Linked DNA regions of Danio rerio. The protein of the gene in region 1 binds, or shares a complex with, the protein of each later gene. Links are inferred from orthologs where the notes say so. Each region holds a gene or a part of one and is shown on either strand. Other genes may lie near its edges. The genes, in order: gtf2e2 and polr2c.

Evidence for each region.
Region 2: gtf2e2 (region 1) and polr2c share a complex: the UniProt entries of both Homo sapiens proteins name them as parts of the TBP-based Pol II pre-initiation complex. The link is inferred for Danio rerio from reciprocal best matches to the Homo sapiens genes GTF2E2 and POLR2C.

The regions. Positions count from the first base shown.
Region 1 is NC_133176.1:24,449,195-24,460,096, forward strand, and holds the end of gtf2e2 (transcription initiation factor IIE subunit beta), read left to right. Parts: intron 1-3,554; coding exon 3,555-3,737; intron 3,738-5,484; coding exon 5,485-5,578; intron 5,579-5,691; coding exon 5,692-5,807; intron 5,808-5,933; coding exon 5,934-6,053; 3' UTR 6,054-6,322; downstream 6,323-10,902. UniProt on the Homo sapiens protein: Recruits TFIIH to the initiation complex and stimulates the RNA polymerase II C-terminal domain kinase and DNA-dependent ATPase activities of TFIIH. Both TFIIH and TFIIE are required for promoter clearance by RNA polymerase.
Region 2 is NC_133200.1:15,313,083-15,324,069, reverse strand, and holds the start of polr2c (DNA-directed RNA polymerase II subunit RPB3), read left to right. Parts: upstream 1-3,828; 5' UTR 3,829-4,019; coding exon 4,020-4,105; intron 4,106-5,519; coding exon 5,520-5,569; intron 5,570-8,607; coding exon 8,608-8,676; intron 8,677-8,761; coding exon 8,762-8,814; intron 8,815-8,924; coding exon 8,925-9,053; intron 9,054-10,987. UniProt on the Homo sapiens protein: Core component of RNA polymerase II (Pol II), a DNA-dependent RNA polymerase which synthesizes mRNA precursors and many functional non-coding RNAs using the four ribonucleoside triphosphates as substrates.

The DNA.
Region 1 (10,902 bases):
CATATTGATTTATCCAGGGTTCCGATCCTTCTTGAAAATACTTGAACTTACTTGAATTTCATACATATGGATTCAAGTTCTGGTAAGTGCTTAAAAGCAAACATATGTTCTTGAAGGTACTTTAATTTAATTTGAAATATAGTTTGATTATGGTTTTTATTTCAACAAATGTACTTAATTGTCAAAGATAGAACTAAAAAACTTAAAATAGAACTTAAAAACCTTAATTTAAAATTTTGTAAAATAAGATTTGACAAATAAATCGTTTTTTCATCAATATTTCAGAAACCACATTGGAATATTACCAGTGTTGAATTGAACAAATGTTATTAAAGTATTTTGAACATTACTTTTTTTTTTCTTTGACATTTATAACGTAAATATAAAGTGTAAGTGAAATGTTAAGTACAGGGGTCTGTTCTTCCTAGGTGGATTACTCAGTTAGCTGGATTTGGACATTGATGATTTGACATGATCCAGGATCGTTTAGTTCTTTAAAACTTATCTAAGAGTTGTTGTCATAGCAACAGTTGTGGTAGCTCAAACCTGGTCGGGAGCAGGCTCATTCATGTAAACAGGATTACATCGGGTCATTTCAAGATAATACTTACTGAAAGTATGGACCAAATGCTGATGTTTTCTTACAGTAGTTATATACACTTGGCAAAATAGTAAATATAATTTATATATATATATATATATATATATATATATATATATATATATATATATATATATATATATATATATATATATATATATATATATATAAAGCAAAAAAATATATATTAACAAAACTTATGCAATCTGCACTCCGAAATAAAGTACAAAGCCTGCCAGGTTCAAAGAGAAAATGTATTGATTTGGACTTTTTAGTTACAAACGCATACATGCACAATATTCAACTTTTTAAAAAACGGATAATAATTTATGCAGTCATGCATGTGTTTTGGCCGCTAATAAACCAGTGATTTGATGCTTCGCAAAAGTTGCAGACACCTTTACCGATACAAAAATGCTTTTTTGATGCAAATTTAATTTATACAGTTATTCCTTATGCCGATTAAAAAAAAACTTGAGTAGGCCTAGGCTACTATAAAAAATAAAATCTTCTCTAAATGTAGAACTAAATACATTGATACCCATTGAAATACATAATGAATACTCCTGACTAGGGATGGGAAGATTAACCGATATGTATCAATACGCGGTCATGCGCGTGCACAATGCGAGTGCATCGGTAGAGCAGCAGAGGATGTATGAAATTTGGAAGCAAATCGAGATGCATCGGTTTTTGCGAGATGCATCGGTTTTTCCAAGATACAACTTGTCTTTTTAATGTAGAATGTGTTTTTTGTTTATTAACAAGTGTTGTCAACCTGTTTTGGCACATAATTTAATCGACCTACATAAAGTATGCCTTAGCAACGGACTTGCAGATGTGTACACTTACACTACAGCTCTAAGCTAAACAAACATGTTGGACGCCGAGACAATTTATTCTCCCCACTGAGTTTTAAATCTAAAGTATGGCAACATTATGGATCTTACAAAAAAGATGGATGACTTGACAAGACAGATGCAATTTGCAAAATGTGCTGCTCATCTGTAAAATACACGGGCAGTACGACTAATCTGATATCTCACTTGAAGCAGTGCCACGGTGTTGTTGTGGAAGTATCTTCTAGTGTTCCTGCATCCCCTGCTTCCTGCTGTGATTCACCTGTAGCTACCAGCTCCAAAAGTGGTGAGAAAAACATTGAAAGTTTTTTTCTATGCCCCGGTTGCTAACAGTTCCGCGTGCTCTATGGCAATAACGGATGCTATTGCATTGTTCATCTGCAAAGACATTCAGCCTTACAGTGTCACGGAGAACGAAAGTTTTAAACACCTCCTCCTTTTAATTTTTATTTAATTTTATTTTTATTACCCTGTTGTTTACATTGACATTCATGTTTCAAAGCAGCATAACACTGCTAGTTCACGACCTTAAGTTTTGAATATTAAGTGGAAAAAATTGTCTTTGTTAAACTTGTTTTCATAGTTGAAAAGTTAAATCACAATTCGTGTTGTGCAATGGTAAACCTTTATGTTGAAAGAGTGCAAATATATATATATATATATATATATATATATATATATATATATATATATATATATATATATATATATGTGTATATGTATATATATATATATGTGTATATGTATTGCACTTATACATTCTGTTTATCTTGGAAATACTTAAATAATATGTTCCATATGTTCTAAAATGGCCCTCTACTGTAAACCGACACTCGGGCTCTGAGAGAAAAGCCAGTTTGTAAAAAAAGTCTTGGTTTTATTGGTTAATAAATAATTAAAGTCATTCAATGGCACAGCATCCTCTTTCACATCATCACATAAACTTGATCTAATTAATTACTGCTGAATTATCACATTGTATTGTGATATGGGTGTGAATCGTATCGTATTGCATCACAATATGTCACAAATTTATCGTTAATGTATCGGATCGTATTCTTTGTATCGAGATGCGTATCGGATCGGCATTATAGCTTAGATGCCCAACCCTACTCCTGATACATGAAAGTGTAAAGCCTGCAGCTTATAACAAATGTGGAAAGTAATTTGCGCATCATATTTAACAAACCGTTTACTGCTAATTTGATGTCATTTTACTCAAATGGATAATTAGATGATTTCATTACGCTGCTGTGCTGTCAGCCAATTGTTGCATTGCTGATCATGATTTCAGGAATCGATAGATCTGTCCTTAACAACACACGCAGCGATCTCAGATCAGTTCATCCAGACATTTTAATCTGATTTGCGAACTTGTTTGAAGAACCAAATTAGCCAGAGATCAGTTATCAAGATTAAAAGATCCAGGATCTGCCAAATCATCTTAGATCATTTAAGCGAGGTACAAAGAACAGACCCTAGGACTTTCATGGCACTACAAATACTGGGGTATGAATTACAAGTGTTCTTTATCAAAATAAGGGTGCTTTAAAAAGTCATTGAAAGTCTTTGAATCTGCAGTTAATGAAAGTGTGGGAACCCTGTTTATTATTTTATCTATGATAGGCCTTAACAGCATAACAACAAACTCAACAAAATATTTTAAATTATTATTGTTCAAAATACAAAAAAATCCCTAAAAAATTAATATTTATATTTTTCTGTGTTCATAACGCACACCACTAGCAAACATACAGCTGTCTGTAAAAACATCTGACTTTACAGATATTGCTGTATGTAAAATTGAAAATGTATGTAAATTTTTTTTTCTTTTAAAATATATTTATAAGGCCACAAAGAGTATGGGATAGCTATGTTCCTGTGGTTTTAAATTATTATTTTTATGTTTATGTTTTTTTATTCCAGAATATTATTATAATTATATAATACTTGGATTTATATGCTGCAGAATACTTTTATTGACCAATGTTCCAACAAGCAATGTAATGACACGCAATATATGTTTTCAAGGGCAAGATCGACATTCGAACAAGAATTCAGCATGTAACCTTTCCCTCTCTCCTTCCCTCCAGGCATTAGCAAGTAATCCTAAGATTGATGTGCGGGAAGGGAAATATGCCTTTAAACCCAAGTATCATCTGAAGGATAAGAAAGCTCTGCTTAGACTTCTGGACAAACACGATCAGCTTGGTCTCGGAGGAGTGTTACTGGATGATGTTGAAGAGGGGCTACCCAATGCAGCCAAGGCTATTAAAGTAATACACCATCATGCTGTCACTCATTAGTAACAAAACAAAAAAAAACATTTACTAAACCGTACATTTAAAGGGGACCTGATATGCCCCTTTTTACAAGATATAAAAGAAGTCTCTGATGTCCCTAGAGTGTATATGCAAAGTTTTGGCATCTTATAACCCATGAATAATTTTTTTAGTTCTTTGAAACTGCTCCTTTTAGCCTTTGATCCAAACAGTGCTTTTATGGTGACTGTCTCTTTAAAATCAAATGAGTATGTACTCCCAGCCCTCCTTTCAAAAGAGTGCAGAGCTACAGACAACCATCACCATTCCATCATTAGTGACTGCATCTCACTTAAAACTGTTTATGCTAATAATGGAGAGATTGTCACTAATGGGCGGGGCTTTCCCCCTCTGATGTACAAAGGAAGAATGTCAGACAGTGTTTCTGCAGACTGCTTTTATGAAGTGTGATTAAAATGAAATTAATTAATGATTTTGTACAGTTGAAATCTGGCTATATTCCCACCTTGTTTCCACACAATTTTGTTTAACTCCTTATAAAAGTGATTTTTGCGCATTAGGTCCTCTTTAAAGAGCCCCTATTATGGGTTTTTGACAATGACCTTCCATGTAGTGTGTAACACAGCTCTAAGTGAAGTGAAATATCCAGTTATGGCTTAAATCTGAAAGTGCTCCGTGTTTAAAACAATTGATGCATTTATAAAAGAGTCGATACGAGACTTATGCCCCGCCCAATTATTGCATGCGCAAACCCAGGAACATTTAATGTAAATTTGACCCTTTTTAATGTGTAGTAGAGGCTCTTTAAATTACCAAGTACACAAAAAAGGGCTCTGAGCCCAGGAAAACTATAGATTTTTTTGATACCAAAAGTCTTTGAAATATTAAGATCATGTTTCATGAAGACATTTTGTCTACTGTAAATGTAAAAGTACCCTACTGTAAATGATTAGTAATTTGCAAAACTAAGACTTGAATTTGGATCATGTTAGAGTGGTTTTGTAGTCCAGGATCATGCATGTATTGTAGTATATATTTATTTATGTATATACACAAAAGTTGGTTCTGTCAACAAGAATGGTGTGAAGTAGCCTTTTTTTTGCTTTGGCTATAATTATTAGAAATATAAATAATACAGCTAAACTGTATTGTAATTATTGAAAAAATATTGCCATCTTAAGTGACCACTTGTAGTCACGGACCACTAAAAGACACAATAATACCATGTGGAAACCTGATCCATACCCTTTTATTTATTTGTTCAGGTAATTTTCTTTTTTTTTCAGCATTAGAAAACAACATAAATGTCATTCACTTTGACAGTAGTTTATATAATCATTTCAAAAAGAATGATTTCATGACATTAAATTAGGATCACATTGCAGCTCTAAAAAGCTTATTAATTGTGAATTTAATTAATTGTGATGTATATACACCTTGTTTAAAATGAAAATAACAAGGCTTTGATTGCAAAAAATACAGTTATTTATTTTAATTTGTTCATTTTTTTTAGAAACTCTCATAAATGTCATTCAGTGTAACATGTTTATATACTAAAAAAACCTTTTCATCAAGAATAATTCCTGCACATATTAAATTAGGATCTGATTGCAGCCACATTAGTAGAAATGCTAATCAATTGACATTTTAGATATTTTTATATATCATAAATGTTTGAGATGGAAACACAAGGCTTTAATAGCATGAAATACTCTAATTTGTTTTAATTGGTTTTGTTCAGGCGCTCGGGGATCAGATTATATTTGTGACTAGACCAGATAAGAAGAAGATTCTATTCTACAATGACAAGCACTGTCAGTTTGTCGTGGATGAAGGTATGTGACTCTCATCACAATTCAAAGCTGGTTCATTTTTGTCCATTACTGTTTGTTGAAAGAAGAGTTCCTGCGATGTTCTGTTGGGATATCAGTGTCTTTTTATTTTCCAGAGTTTCAGAAGCTGTGGCGGAGTGTTCCTGTTGATTCCATAGATGAGGAGAAGATCGAAGAGTACCTGAAGAAACAGGGCATCTCATCAATGCAGGAGACTGGACCAAAGAAAATGGTACGATTTGTCTCTCAAACACATAGAAATCAACATTTACACACAGAAAATCAAACACACTCTTCAGACTGGCTATTACGTGCATGTTTGTGTGAGGTTGATGTGATTTGTGATTGGCTGTCACAGACACCAATTCAGAAGAGGAAGAAACCTGGAACCCAGAGAAAGAGACGCTATAAGACTCACAATGACCATCTGAATGGAGTGCTGGAGGACTACTTCGATGGAGTTCCCTCAAAGAAGTGACACACACAGCTGTAAAAAGCTCAGAGTGATGAGACTGATATCTGTGATGTTTGTATATCTGTTCTGATAACGTCTTATTGTCAACCATAAAGATATGCAGACATACACATACACAACTTTAGAACTGTTCTGAGTTGGCACAAATGTGAACAGACTGTAAATATTTCCTTTCCAACATTACGTTTTACTTTTTGCTAGTGCTTTAAAAATGGACTTTTGAGCTCTTCTTTTTTTAGGTTTAAAGATTAAACAAGAGCAATCAAACCACATCTGTTGTTTCTTTTTTGAGTTTATTAATGATGTATTTAAAAAAAATACCTTTATAAGGCCCTATCATACACCCGGTGCAATACACTAAGGGTGCTTTCACACTAGCACTTTTGGTCTGCACCCGGTTTTGTTTGACATCAGAGTATGGTACGTTTAGCTAGTGTGAACGTTGTCTTCTAAATTCAAGTGGGCACAACAAACCGTACCCAAGTCCACCTGAAGGAGGTGGTCTGGGGTACCAAATAAGGGAACTGAACTTCCAACTTTACAACAAACTTTAGTTTTCATAATGTTTATTAGTGTGTGGATGTCTGTGTTAGAGATCTGCATGGGACTAAATTTTGTATCCTGCTTCCACCAGGTTTTAGTCAGAACCCCACCGCTCCCACTTATATTCAGCATTTGTTGTCCTGCAGCCCGACCCACCCCGTTTAACAACACATATAATAGATAAGTATAAACACACACACACAGACAGCATCACACTCTCTCTCATTCACACACATAGACAGCACAAAGCTCTCTCTCTCTTATTCACACACACACACACACACACACACACACACACACACACACACACACAGACAGCACAAAGCTCTCTCTCTCTTATTCACACACACACACACACACAGACAGCACCAAGCTCTCTCTCTCATTCACACACACAGACAGCAACAATCAAGCTAAACAGCATTTTTTGCGGCAGATAGATGCAAGTGGTTTTCTGTATTTTGGTTTTGGTAACAAAAGCAAAAGATTCAGTAAAAGCAGAATGACCATTTTGCTCTTTGCTTACATGGCTGTCACCTAGCAACAGCTGTACACGCCACCGCAGCTTAATGACGAAACCATACCAGGGTTCAGAAGGAAAAAAACGGTGTGAACACAAACCAGCCAAGAAGGTGGCAAGGGGAGATTATCGAACTCTGGTTCAGTCCAGGCAACTGAACCACGTGTGAAAGCACCCTAAGTGTTTTTGGGTAGTTTCAAGCCAGTGCAGGTATCTTTTGCTCCTTTAGGGTTGTCCTCAGTGCTTGTATTCATTGCTTATTAGACTCACAGGGATGTGCAGGAGCCCAGTATTATCTTCAAATATGAAAAATTAAGTGATTAAAATGTCACGAGCAGATTCTTTTCCTCGCTAGTGAAGTGTTCAGTTTTGCCAGTTACAAAGTACTCGCTCTTAAAGATAATGGGAGAAGAGACTCTGATGGATTTAATGCCCAAAACACACCCATGAGAATAAGGACAACACTATTAGACTGTGTTGGATGCACTATACTTAAATAGCAAAAGTGGATTCGGACACCCCTTAAGTGCATTTGCACTGTGTGCTTTAAATCATGTGCATATATGATTATAATACAGCCCTATATGTCATAGATGAAATGGTTTTAATATTAAAAGTGTAATGAGAATTTTTTTTCTGAACAAAAAAATGACTGTTATAATGTCATTATTATGATATCCAGAAGACACCCACTTAATATAGTTTAGTGACAGTTAATATACCGAAACATATTGTCAAGCATGTTTAGAACAAGAATATTTGATGGTTTATTAAGACTCCTATTTAAGGATCTGACTATAATCATTTATGATTTTTTTCTCTGTCTCTCTGTATTTGATTAGCAGTCGTTCTCTTGCAATTTTATCTACAAGCATGTTTCCTCAATTATTACAAATGATACAACTGAAATGCAGAGCACTAATGTTTTATCTTCTAAGCACAACTACATTGAAGTTATATTTAGAAAATCTCCATAATCTAACATTATAATAATAATCATTCAGTTTTACTTGTATGTTCTGTTCAGTGGCATAATTGATTCATCAACCCACATGCAGAACAAAGAAATTCACAAATATATAAATAGATATTAACACTTCACTGTACAGTACTTGTTATTATTTAGCACCTCAGATGTCTGTACATCTTTACACACGCTCAGCGTTTTTCAATCTCTGGTGTGTTTCACATAAATTGGAAACTTGAACTTGCATTAAGTTTTTAATTTAGGGAATATGTGTTCTTTAATAACATGTTTTGCCGTAATAACTCCTAATCACAGTTTATTGATGGTTGGTTCTGTCTGGGCATCAGATGACACAATGACACATGGAACGGCCTTGGAATGACTATATCAAAAGTGCCAAAAGTGCACCACAATTCAAAAAATTAGTCAAGATCATGGAAATGAAGAGTAAACTAGACCCTTTTTTTAATGCAATACAATTCAAAAGAGCTTTGTCGGCATGACCTGTCAAGAATTGCAAAAGTATTGTAAATTACATGAATAATAAACTTCAAAGTGATTATATAATAAATATACACAAAATACATACACAAATAAGAAAAAAAACTAATATTCTTTTGTGAATAATTAAAGGGAGAAATTAAAAAATACAAAAACAATACACAAATATATATTCATTCTGATGGTTTGTAGTAACGTTTCAGATAACTTTCTTTCATTTGTGGAAATATACCTAAAAACCATTAATATGCACAAGGGCACAATACACATGAACTGTAGTGTCCTGAACACGAATATATTTTGTTATTTTTATTAAAAGGGGCATATATCTATGCAGTATTTTAGATAGGGAGTACTTTGTGTTTTTTCTCTGTTCTTTTTCCTCAAGGCTGCACCATTTTTGAATAGAGTGATGATGAGTTGCACCAACAATCCGACAGCACCTGGTCAAGGACAAAGCCTTTATCGGCCATGACTACTCCTTCAGGCACCAGTAATCTAACAATTCCAGACTGTTTTGTTATCTTTTGGTCTAATATTGACCCTGCAAAGACCTTTAGGACAGAAGTGATTACACATATGGTGCAATACTTATCAGAGCCCTGAAAGAGGTCTGATTCTTGTAGGTGGAAAAGATTTCAAATCTAAATCGTGTTTAGATGGATAAAGTTACCTGGCATTGTTGTTCAGACCTGTTCCCTTGACATTCAGATTGGCTGTGACCCCAAGACAAGGTGTAAAGATTTCCTCCTTTTTCTTTCCTTCAAACCTCTTATAGCACAAGTCGGTGCTAAAAAAGTTAACATGCATTAACATTCTCTTTCACGCTGACTGCAGCACTACAACAGTACAAGGAAAAACACAACCTCGAATGCCAGTCTACAGTGTGGACTTGGTTTTCAATATTTATTGCATCCTGTATTCTCTGCTCGAGTAGACTAGGCATGGGGAGATACCCAGTTTTTAAGTTTGCTTTGGAAAAGTAAAAGTTTTAAAACTGCATAGATTTGGTTATAGCATTGCTAAGGTATATGTATGATTTTTTTGTGTTTTTTGTAAAGAAATCTTTTTTGAAACTAATGAAGATAGCAGATGTCATTTATTTATTTTATTTACTTAATTTTTAGCCTGACATGTTTACTGTTCCAAAATATTTTAAATGTTTTCTAAAATAAAATATATTGTGTTTAAAATTTTGTTTTTTTTACACCTTTTTTAGAGTAGTAATACCGTGATACCATGAAACCAACACAATCTCACGGCAATTCGTAACTTTTTCATTTAGTGGCTAATTCGTACAATCTAATTTGTACAATTTAGTACGATTTGCTTATCCCCCAATGACGGTTAGGGTTGGGGTTAGGGGTGGGGTTACGTTAGGTGCCACGCCTCCTTTTTAAAATCGTATCATTTAGTACGACTGAAATCGTACGAATTTGTACAAATTAGCCATTAAACTGGCAAAACGTAAAATACTTACGCTTTCTCGTGAGATCAGGCTGCATGAAACATGATATTTTATCCAAGGTTATCATTCCTCCATAACAGCCCATGCCTAGAATAGACTATTTTGGATGCTGATAGGGAAACGGACTCCCAAAATTAAACATCAAAAAATAATAATGCGTTTATCGGTCATTAACTTCACAAATTCTTGAAAGATTTTATTTAGATAAAAAAGCATATGTACATTAATAAAACTACACTTTGCATTATATTGTCTTTGCATTAAAATACAAAAATAAACTAAAATAAATACTTAGTGAATTTGACATTGTTCTCTCTTCTGGCTGCCGTTATCAGTCTCACATAATATTTTTCCTTTTTCTGCAAGTCGGGATAACGCCATTGGAATGCAAAAAAATTTATTTGTTGTGCTCTACCATTTGCTGCATTTTAAGTTTATTCAACTATCATAGCGTTGTGCATATGAATTGTGCAAATCTGATACCCGATATCCTAAAAGTTTGGATGGGGTGGTGGATTTTTTTTCCCTTTCCAAAACCTAAAACCCAAGGAAAGAAATGCCAGTGTGGATCAAGCTCTGTGAGGGGCGCTAAAAGAGTGGTGTTAAGTTGGCTTTGTTTTCGATATCTCTGACAGATACATTGAAACACGGCAATAGCTCACACAGCTCTTACTGTAAAAAAATCTAAACTGTGTTTTTTTTCAAAAATACAAAGCAGATTATGTTTCCCAGCTGTCTTTTTCTTTTTTTTCGTTCGATATTATTAGCACTGCTCCGTTTAAGCTCTCGCAGTAGTAGTCATACTAGCAATCATATTTGCATCTGTTTAAAGCTACAAATATTTGAAATTACA
Region 2 (10,987 bases), on another chromosome or scaffold:
AATAATAATAATAATAGTTTTTATTTATATAGTGCCTTTCCAGAGCTCAAGGACACTTTACAAGAAATGCGACAAAAAGATAAACAAACATACATGAAGTCAAATATAACAAACTGGAATTACACAAACAAGATCTAAGAGACATATGAGCAGAGTGGAGGTGGATCAGATAAAGTAGTCAGTTTGGCAGATCAGAAGCGAAGCATTCAGAAAATAAGAGTCTTAAGTAAGGATTTGAATTCAGAGATACTTTATGATGACTAAAATGGTCTTAAACAATTCAATTCATCTTTATTTTCATAGCGCTTTTACAATGTAGATTGTGTCAAAGCAGCTTAACATAGAATATTAAAGTAAATTGAAACTTCAGTTTTCAGAGTTTAAGTTCAGTTTAGTTCAGTGTGGGTTAATTTTCACTGCTCAGAGTTCAAACACTGAAGAGCAAAACCATCGATGCACAGCTCCACAAGTCCCGGACCATGCAAGCTAGTGGCAAGAAACAAACTTCACCAATTTGCGAAAGTTAACAATCACTAAATACACCACAGAATGTTACGTTTATACACTCACACACACACACACACACACACACACACATACACACACACATATATTACATGTAAACGCATCAACCTTTCCCAGCGTAATACTCACTGGTCATGAGTACTTTTAAAAGTGCTACTTTTTACTCTTTTGATTAATATTTACAACAGATACTTTTACTTTACTTGCACTACATTTTAGGGCAAGTTATGGTACTTTTACTTTGTATGATTTTTCAGTACTTTTCCCACCACTGCATCTAACTGACCTTTAAATCCTGTTTAAACATTTGATTTATTTTGCAACTTAAATTAAATTAGCATTTGTCTCTCATCTTTTCCAGCTGAAGAACCTAACCGGGATGAACCAGAGACGATGAGTTTTCGTCTTTCACTATCTGACCTTTCGGCCATGCAGCACAAATGTCCGATACTTCCCTAGCCTGCTCTAAACCAACTACACAACATGAAACGATCACAGTGAAAGTGTGTATGTCACGATACTCCCCCAGCACTTTTTAAATGGGTCAGCTGTGCCATACCAAATTCCTCTGTCTGAATCTTGACCCGAGTCCAACCAGGAGCCAGTTTTCCTTCTGCCATTGCAGTCTCCTTCTTGTTTTCTGCATTTGTAAAAAGAAACAAAAAAAGAAATGTAAATTGTATTTGAGAGTTCTATGTTCATACAGTTTGTGTCTGACTCTTTGCTGAGTCCTTCAAAAAAGAAATAAAGGCTTACCTATTTGCTGAACGCTGAGTTTGTTTGTTTGTTTGTTAATCTCTCCATGGTAATAATCCAAGTCTGTGATGGAAGAATTAAACACGATATCAAGGAGCTTTTCCCTGATATTGTGTTTAATTCTTCCATCACAGACTTGGATTATCTTCTTTTTATATGCCATTGAAACAATTGCTAAATATTTATCTGCTTTATATATTAATCTGCTTTAAGTGGTGCAATATTTGCAACTAAAACATGCCAGTAAAGTGTTCTTATTAATAATACATCAAGGGTTTTAATGTTTCTTATTACATATAGCAGGGATAACAAAAACTGTTCAGTTTAACATGGTGGGTCAAACTTTACAAACACTTGTTGGTTATATGGCCACAAATGCAAGTCTATTACATGTTTGTTTGTTTTTTACAGCAGACTCCTTGCAACAAAAAGCATATAAATATTTGTGTAAATAAATATCTCAATTCCGTCTTTAATAAGATATTTTAATGCTTAGGTTTAAGACGAAAGCTTAATTTTAATTGTGGTCTAATGAAACTAGGCAATGGAAATGTGTCACATTGCTGTTTGAAGTACACACACAACATGTTTTAAATAAATGGTTTAGCATAATTTTTAAAAAATACTAATATTTTACTAATAGTATTGGTTATTCTTTTGCACATTTGTGTATAAAATATAATGTATTAGGCTTCATGTTTCCTTAAAATGGGCTATATGCACAGCTCGTATTTTTTAGCCAATGGTAAACTTCCGTTGAAAGGTTTCTGTTACAATTTGAACTTTTATAAGCATCAACATCATAATATTGCAATCAGTTAAATGCACTTAAGCATTAATTTAGTTGTTCAAGCATTAAACGAGATGATAGACTGTAACTGCTAGCACCGTCAGTACCAGCAGGTTAGTGCAGAAACTCCATTCAAAATACTGAGTTAAAATAAATGTTTATATTTCAAAGAAATGGCAGGCAAAATTTGAGTTGATTGCAGTGCTTCTTATCCAGTCTGAGACCCACTTTATATCTAATAGGCAGTGAAGATCACTTGTTTTTAAAGAAAACAGATAATCGTGCCAATTTTGTATAGAAAGACAGTTCACTGAAAATCCTCGAAAATGGCTGGCTAAAAATTAAAAGTCCATGTGCACACCCCATTACAAACCAATGCTCTGAAATTATTAGTTTGTGATCATTTCCACAGAAAACAGCACAAAGAAATACCCATAGTAATACAGTTGTAAACCACAAAAATCGGAATTATGAAATCTGAATTTAGATGTTGCAGATTTACCTGATTTACATCTTCCACAGTAACTGATCATACTGATATAATGTCATATACAGGCGTGTCTAAAATGTAAAAAATACTACATTAAGTTAATATCATGTATGTTAGGTTTGTGATTTTAACTATGTATTTATTTCAAGACCTCAAAAGGACAGAGGAAAAGTTTTTATTTTAGATTTATTAAAAAAGGACAATAACATGTAATCTTACTTTGAGTGTTCTGCAGTTTACGGAAGAAAAATTTCGCCCAGAGTATATGATTGGGTCATAAAATCTATTTCTAAAACTATTACATCTGACCAGAACCTGTGCTTATACAGACTTAAAATGTGAAATGCCAAAATTATCTATTGAAGGGGTGGAGATTTTGTTAAGTCTAGCTTGTACCCTAAAGCTTTTTATAAATGGAAATTAAATCACCCGGTTCTGTCCACCATTACAATTTGGCCTGGTATCAATAAGTTTTTAGTGCCTATAATAAGATGAAAGAACTTTATTTTTAAATTCTTCATAATTACTATCCTTTCAAGTCTTTACTGTCTGAATTTAATATATACAATTCTTTGCAATGCACTTTCTGTAATTCTAACCTGGAAACAATATAGCATTTAGTTTTAGAATGCAATTTTGTGGGAAAATTTTAGACAGATATATCTTGGCTTTTCTTCTTAGCTTACAATTTTTTTTTCGATTTTAAGACAATTAATTTATTGTTTTTGATTTGGGAGTCAGATTGTATTTAAATGGACAATATGGTAAATTTTTTTTAACTCTTTGTGGCCTTTTCCATGTTCACAAATGTAGAGTTATTCAGTGTTTGCCAAATTTTAAAAACATTTTGAATCTACTTTATTATGAATTTCTGCCTATCGCAAAATAAGAAAGCTGCTAAAACAACTGCACTGCTGAAAAAAAATAATATAATTTTAGTAATTACCTTTAAGTTATCAGATCTCTTTTGGTATGCCAATGTAACATTCCTAATAATCTAAGTATAGTTTGAGATATTTATGTTTTATTTCTTTTGATATATATTTCTATATTTTTATTTTCTTTAAATATTTGCTTTTCTTTCATGTATTGTTTTTCCCATATCTAGATCTACATTGCAGTAGATGAACAATGAATATTTATAATTTGTATTCAGGTCACACAATGTTAGCACAAATTAATGTTTTATGTATTGCCTGTTACTTATGTCATTTAAAAATGACCGTTAAAAAAACTATTTTACCTGAACGCTGAAGACTTTTATTTTGTGTAACCGGCAATACTCCTGCAGTACTCCGGATGTTAACGGACTGGAGGCAGCCAGTGCCCAATGAGCTGCTTTCGTTTGTTATTGTGCTGAAGCCGCGCTCGACGCTGGACGTAATTGAGCAACTCACCGCACGTATAGTTGATTTGTTATTATATATATATTTTGTCTTAATCCGGCTTGATTTCGGTATGCCGTACGCCAACCAGCCCACGGTAAAAATCACGGAACTCTCGGACGAGAATGTGAAGTTCGTGATCGAGAACACGGATCTCGCGTGAGTAATGAGATTGATGGAGTCTAATCGATGATTTTGACCACAAGTCTCATGTTTAGAGCATTGTAGTATGTTTATTGTGCTCTCTCTAAAATGTAATATGTAAATACTAAATATAACTTACGTCTGGTAAAAACATGCTGCATACACCACGGTACTTTTTTTAGTTTTTTTTTTGTTTTATTCAGGAAATACTGTACACTTTACTGTTACAGATTACAGTTTAGTACTGTTTATTGTTGTTCTAACTTGACCGAATGCACATTAAATGCATTTTAAAAGCACATGAACAAAAATAATAATGTTTAAATAAGTCTAAATTAAACAAATAAGAATGGGGAAAACCATTATTAAATGTAAATATACCTTAAAATCATATAATGTATGTAATATATATAAAGATCTATCTATCTATCTATCTATCTATCTATCTATCTATCTATCTATCTATCTATCTATCTATCTATCTAACTCAAATGAGCATATCCATTGGACAGTTTTTTTTACATTTAATTGCTTATTTTTGTCATAATCTAGCCAGATAAGCATACAGTACTCAGCATATATGAGTACACCCCTACAAATCTCTCATTTCAATGAATATTTTCTATAGGAAGCTTTACAATATTATATTTGTGCATATACATTAGATTAGTCAGTACTGAAGTTAAATCTGGAGCTTATTTAACTAAATAACTTACAATGATGATTCAAAAATTTGTAGCCCAGATTTATGTTAGGGAAAAATAAATAAAACTTTCAAAAATAGCAAATATCAAGAGAAGCAAAAATATACACAATTTAGTTGAAATGTTGTAGTCTGTAATTCTTTTTGCAATATTTTGCATGAATTTAATTGCAATATCTTTCCATTTCTAAAGATATTCTGTGACTAAAATAGTATTTTAATATATCTGTTTAATAAATCTGTTATATTCAAATGCGCTTATATACACTACCCATATTCACTGAGAAATTGATAAAAATATGAATTTTCAAAGTGGGGTGCACTCCATTATGCTGAGCACTGTACATGTATTTGAATTAAAAATCACATATATTGGAATATTGAGCATTTTAATAGTTTAAATTTGTTGTTGTGTTTACATGAGGGAATAAAACGCTTCTGTATTAATTTAGTTTTTAGTAGTTTTATCTGTCCATCTGTCTATCTGTAATGACCACATTTATATATTTGTAAACATATTTCATTTTATGATAAATATGAGTTTATTTGTTATGTTTATTATCTGTAATGTTACATTAATTTGTAATGTTTTACGTTTGGTAAATCTATTTTATTTTTTATGTAAATTACAGCACCCTAAAAAAAATGTTTAAAGTTTAAGTTTGATGATAAACATTTTAATGAGAATAAGAAAAGCACCTGTATTTTATTTTGTTTATTTTTCAGGGTTGCAAACTCTATTCGACGTGTGTTCATGTCAGAAGTTCCAACCATTGGTAAGAATCAAAATCTAATCAATATGAAAAAAAAAAACACGTTAATTTAATAATACGTTTACTTGATTTAAAGGGCACCTATTTGACCCCTTTTTCAAGATTTAAGAGCAGTCTTTTGTGTCTTCATAATGTGTCTGAAAAGTTTCAGCTCAAAACACCCATCAGACTATTTATTTTACCATTTAGAAGTTTGTAATTTTCAGCTCTGAGCATCTTGTAGCTGTTTTTGTTGCCTGTGTCTTAAATGATCGTTCTCCCCGCCCACCGTTTCCATGTGCCACAGTCAGTGTGCCACAGTCTCGATAGAGCTGCTTGATTATGGGAAAAATCATAATCACGATTATTCAAACGATTATCAGTTGAAGTCAGAATTATTAGCGCTCCTGTGTAATGTTTTTTTATTTTATATAAAAATTTCCCAAATGATGTTTAATAGATTCAGGAATTTTTCACAGTATGTCCTATAACATTCTTTCTTCTGGAGAAAGTGTTAATTGTTTTATTTTGGCTAAAATAAAAGTAGGTTTAAATATTTTAAAACCTATTTTAAGGTCACTATTATTAGCCCCCTTAAGCAATATACTGTTTGATTGTCTGCAAAAGAAACTACTGTGATACAATGACTTGCCTAATTACCCTAATTGAAGCTGCGGCCACACTGGACTTTTCCTCACATAGACTTCCATTCATACCCACGTGAATGCCGGAAACGCAGGGTCATGCGTCAAGTTTCGGAGGTTGCTGTGGTGCAATGTTCAAGCTTGGTGAACTCTGACCTGCGAAATCGTATCACTTGACTGCTTGAGACCAATCGAGGATCAAAACATGACCTCTCTGGACAGAAATTTAAAATATAGATCAGTGGTTCTCAAACTGTAATACATGTACCACTAGTGGTACGCAGGCTTCCTTCTAGTGGTACGCTGAGAAATGAAATATGTCATGTACATGCTACACACATTTCAAAATTTACCAAAAATGATGGATATAATATGCCATATAGGACATATAGCCTATATTTCTGAGGTATTCTGCCACGTTTTTTTAACTGTGCAGAGTTGTAGCTGCTTTACTGGGCCTACTACGCTACTGTATTTCAATACTGCTCATTTTGTTGGTACTAGGAGAGACTATTTTTTTCTGAGGTGGTACTTGATGAAAAAAGTTTGAGAACCACTGATATAGAGCAATCGCTTGCTTTTTAAATGTCTAATCATCTTGTTTAATCCCGCCCCTTTTCGCAGAGCCGTTCAACAGAATTTCGCAAGCTCAAACTCTAGTGTGACAGCAGCTTAAGCCTTTGAATCACACTTTGAATCTGAATGCTTGTATTTTGAAAAATATCTAGTAAAATATTATGTGCTGTCATCATAGCAAAGATAAAATAAATCAGTTATTAGAAATGAGTTATCAAAACTATTATGTTTAGAAATGTGATGAAAAAATCTTTCTGTTAAACAGAAATGAGGGGTGGGGGTGGGGGGAAGGGTCGCTAATAATTCAGGAGGGCTAATAATTCTGACTTTAACTGTATATATGCACAGTTATTTTCCTTCCTGTAAAAAAGGAAAGGGAAATAAATACAATAGAATAAAATATGAAACAAACTGTGCTTTAAGCATCTTCACTGTAAGAATAAAACTTTAGCTACAAAAGTCCTTTAGTCAAGAGCAGAGAGGGATTTTCTCATTTGTTGTTTGATTAATAATGATGAAAACAGGCGGCAGCAGGAATATTGCGCGCTGTCACTTTAATGGTTTCTCTTTCACATGAGTTGATCCTCAACTTGTTTATTACACATGATTGTTAATATGAATAATCACTAATCACTTTTGACACCTATTTGACCATTAAAGCGCTCACATTAAGATGACTTTAGATGTGTGTGCCCTGCTCGTCTCTAAGCGCAGTGTGCGAATGAGACCAAATGCTGACCGCATGTTGTGTGTGCGCCGCACACACACAGCTGCGGCATACGGTCTCATTCGCGCTTTTAAAAACATGAATAGAATGTAAATCAATGAACGATGCTCATCCCGTGCTGTAAACGTTACACAGTACATGCTTTTAGTGATTTTCATGTGAAACTGAGCTTTGCAGAGCAGAAAATGTGTACAACTGGAAAGGGGGTCGGTATATGACGCAATAATCCTTTATCTTGTTCAATGATTTTCATAATCGTTAGCAGCCGAAATAGAATTTTAGATTAATTGCACAGCCCTAGTCTCCAACTGCGTCAGATAAACAGCACAGTTACAGAAATAAAGGAAGCAGATCTCGTGTAATGTTTGTGAGAAATACTACAGTAAGAACTTTCCCAATAATTATTTGATGTATTTGTTGTGGAGTTGATTCAAGCATTTCAATGAGTTGCACACAATGTCGTTACAAAGTTCTCACACACACATAGCACAGGCGTTTAACCTTGCACCGTTTTTGCATGGCAAATGTGACAGAATACATGTTAATATACACTACTGTATGGATATACGTTATGTTAATGTACAAAGTAAACCTGATTTAATGTCCACAAACCGGGATTGAAGCGTCATCTTTTAGAATTGTACTGACATGCGGCTGTGCTGATGAAGACGGTAAAATTTTTTAAAAGTTTTAAAAAATGTTTTAAACTCGTGCTTGATCACATTTGATGATGATTGATGATCACAGAGAGCTGAACAGATCTTTTGATCCCAGTTGCTTTGCACATGTCCTGTCTTGTTGATATGATTACTACAGAGACATACTAATACACGGCTGTCAATCAATTCGGTGGGTGGGGAAACTGCACTACTAAGTCACGTTGCGGTGGGTCTCAAAATGAGGATTTTAATCCTGTTTTAACATCAGGATATATATATATGTATATAAAAAAAAGAGACTTATTGTCTTTATATCACCGCGATATGACTATGGACACACTGTACCTACACACAGTCCAAACAGCTCCTAAAAGATGGTTTTCATCATAGGTGCCCTTTAATTCTGCTCTTTGTCTGTTAAACCTGTTAATCTGATGTAATGCGCTCATTTGCCAGCTATTGATTGGGTTCAGATCGATGCCAACTCCTCTGTGCTCCACGATGAGTTTGTTGCTCATAGAGTGGGTGCGTATGTTCATCGTCTCTCCAAAATCTTTCTCTTCATTCTTCCAATAACACCAAGCATAATTATCAGGCTCATGTTTTACAGGATTAATTCCGCTCACAAGTGATGACATCGTTGACAAGATGCAGTACTCGAGAGTAAGTGTCTAAACCAGGGTTTCTATTTTTATAAATCTGCATGAACATGAATCATCTTATTAATTGGAAGAGCGAAAATGTAATATTTGGCTTACTTTGTTTCCAATCAGGACTGCACGTGTGACGATTTCTGTCCCGAGTGTTCGGTTGAGTTGACGCTGGACGTGAGATGCACTGAAGACCAGACACGTCACGTGACCTCACGAGATCTTCTGTCTAATAACCCGCGAGTCATTCCTGTAAGGAGATTTTCTAGAGTCATTTTTAAAAAATGTATTCAAAATGCAGGAAAATAATATTTTAGCCAGTACAAAGCATGTGACTTCAGTAGCCATTGTTTGTTTTAGCTTAATTAATAATTTTAAAATATCTATTGATAATTTAATTTCTCATCTGGCATCTAGTAGCCAGATAATGTTAAAAATAAGCAACTATGGACTGATACCAATATGGGTGATAGATGCATAACAACTTGTTGATAAACAAAAGGTGTTTAATTAAAAAAAACATGAAAAGTAGAAAAACAAAACGTCATTTTCAAGTTACAAAACTTTTTTTACTTTTTTTACAAAACTAGATTTTACATTTGTTTTTATTTTTTTATTATGTTTTAACAACTGACAGAGTTAATGACAGTAAATGGGTAAATATTGTGTCATTTGAACTTGGCGTTTATGATTAAATTAAACAAGAGATGCTCTGAAATGTAGAATTTAGGCAGATGGCTATAATAGTATCAGTAAAACCGATTATATTTGAAAGCCAATAACCGATATATAGGCATATCGATAAGATACATTCTCAGCTTAATTGGCAATCATATTTTTCTTATCTGGGTCACATGATAACAATAATATAAAAATAAAAGTTTTACATGATAATGAGTTTGATGATTTGATGACAAGTTCTACTTTTGATTTAATAATAAAAATAAAATGACACTACGTGTTTTAAATTATATTCCACAATTACATTTACTTTAACAGCTTGTGGTTAGCAAAATATTTTAACAAACTTAGATATATATATATATAGGGGTTATATTAGGGTTGCACAATTCTGGAATTTGGTACCAATCAATACTGAAGTTTTAAAAACGTCCATTTCCTGATTAACTTTGGATAAAAATATCATTGTATTGTGATTACTGCTATAAAATAAATTCTTTTTTAATGTCTGGGTATAAAACTAAAACTTTTTTCCCTTTTGAACACAATATATTTTATTTTGAAAAACATTTCTAATTTTTTGAAACATAAAGGATGTCAAGCTAAAATAATTATTGACTTTTAAAGTCTTCAGTTGTTGCAAAAAACAGATTTTATTTTTACAATTTAAAACGGCATCTATAGATATCTTTACTGCTGAAGATACTGTTGTCCTAAAAAAAAAAAAAAAGAAAAGAAAAAAAAATCGTACACACCTAAGGAACGGTATTGCAGAAAATTTTGACTGTTTTAAAAACCGGGATTTCCTAAACCGCAGTATTCCTTGAAAACGGTTTTATATATATATATATATATATATATATATATATATATATATATATATATATATACACACACACACACACAGTTGAAGTCAAAATTATTAGGCCCCAGAGTTTTTGGCACGTTGTTAGTTTTTTCCCCAATTTCTGTGTAGCGGAGAGAAGATTTTTTTCAACAGATTTCTAAACATAATCGTTTTAATAACTCATCTTTAACTAATTTATTTTATCTTTGCCATGATTACAGTAAATAATATTTGACTAGATATTTTTCAAGACACTTCTATACAGCTTAAAGTGACATTTAAAGGCTTAACTAGGTTAACTAGGCAGGTTATGCCGAGTTCAGACTGCATGATTTTCAAAGTAGTCGTGTCACAGATGTTTTCACACTGCATGACTATCTGGGCCAGCATTTCATCGCTGCTTTGTTTACACTGCAAAAGGGATCGGCGGCATGGACTTTCACATTGCATGACTTTACAATAGAAAGAATCGCCGACAACTTCGTCCAAACTACGTCTCACAGCCAAAAACACGTAGTAGCCAATATCTTTTGTTATTAACTACAGAATGAGAAAGAAGCCTTTAATGGGGTAAAAAATGTACATATTTGCTCACCTGGGTTTAAAGGGAATTGGCCATTTCTCCTCAACTTAGGTTGATAATAAAGTAATTTCTTTT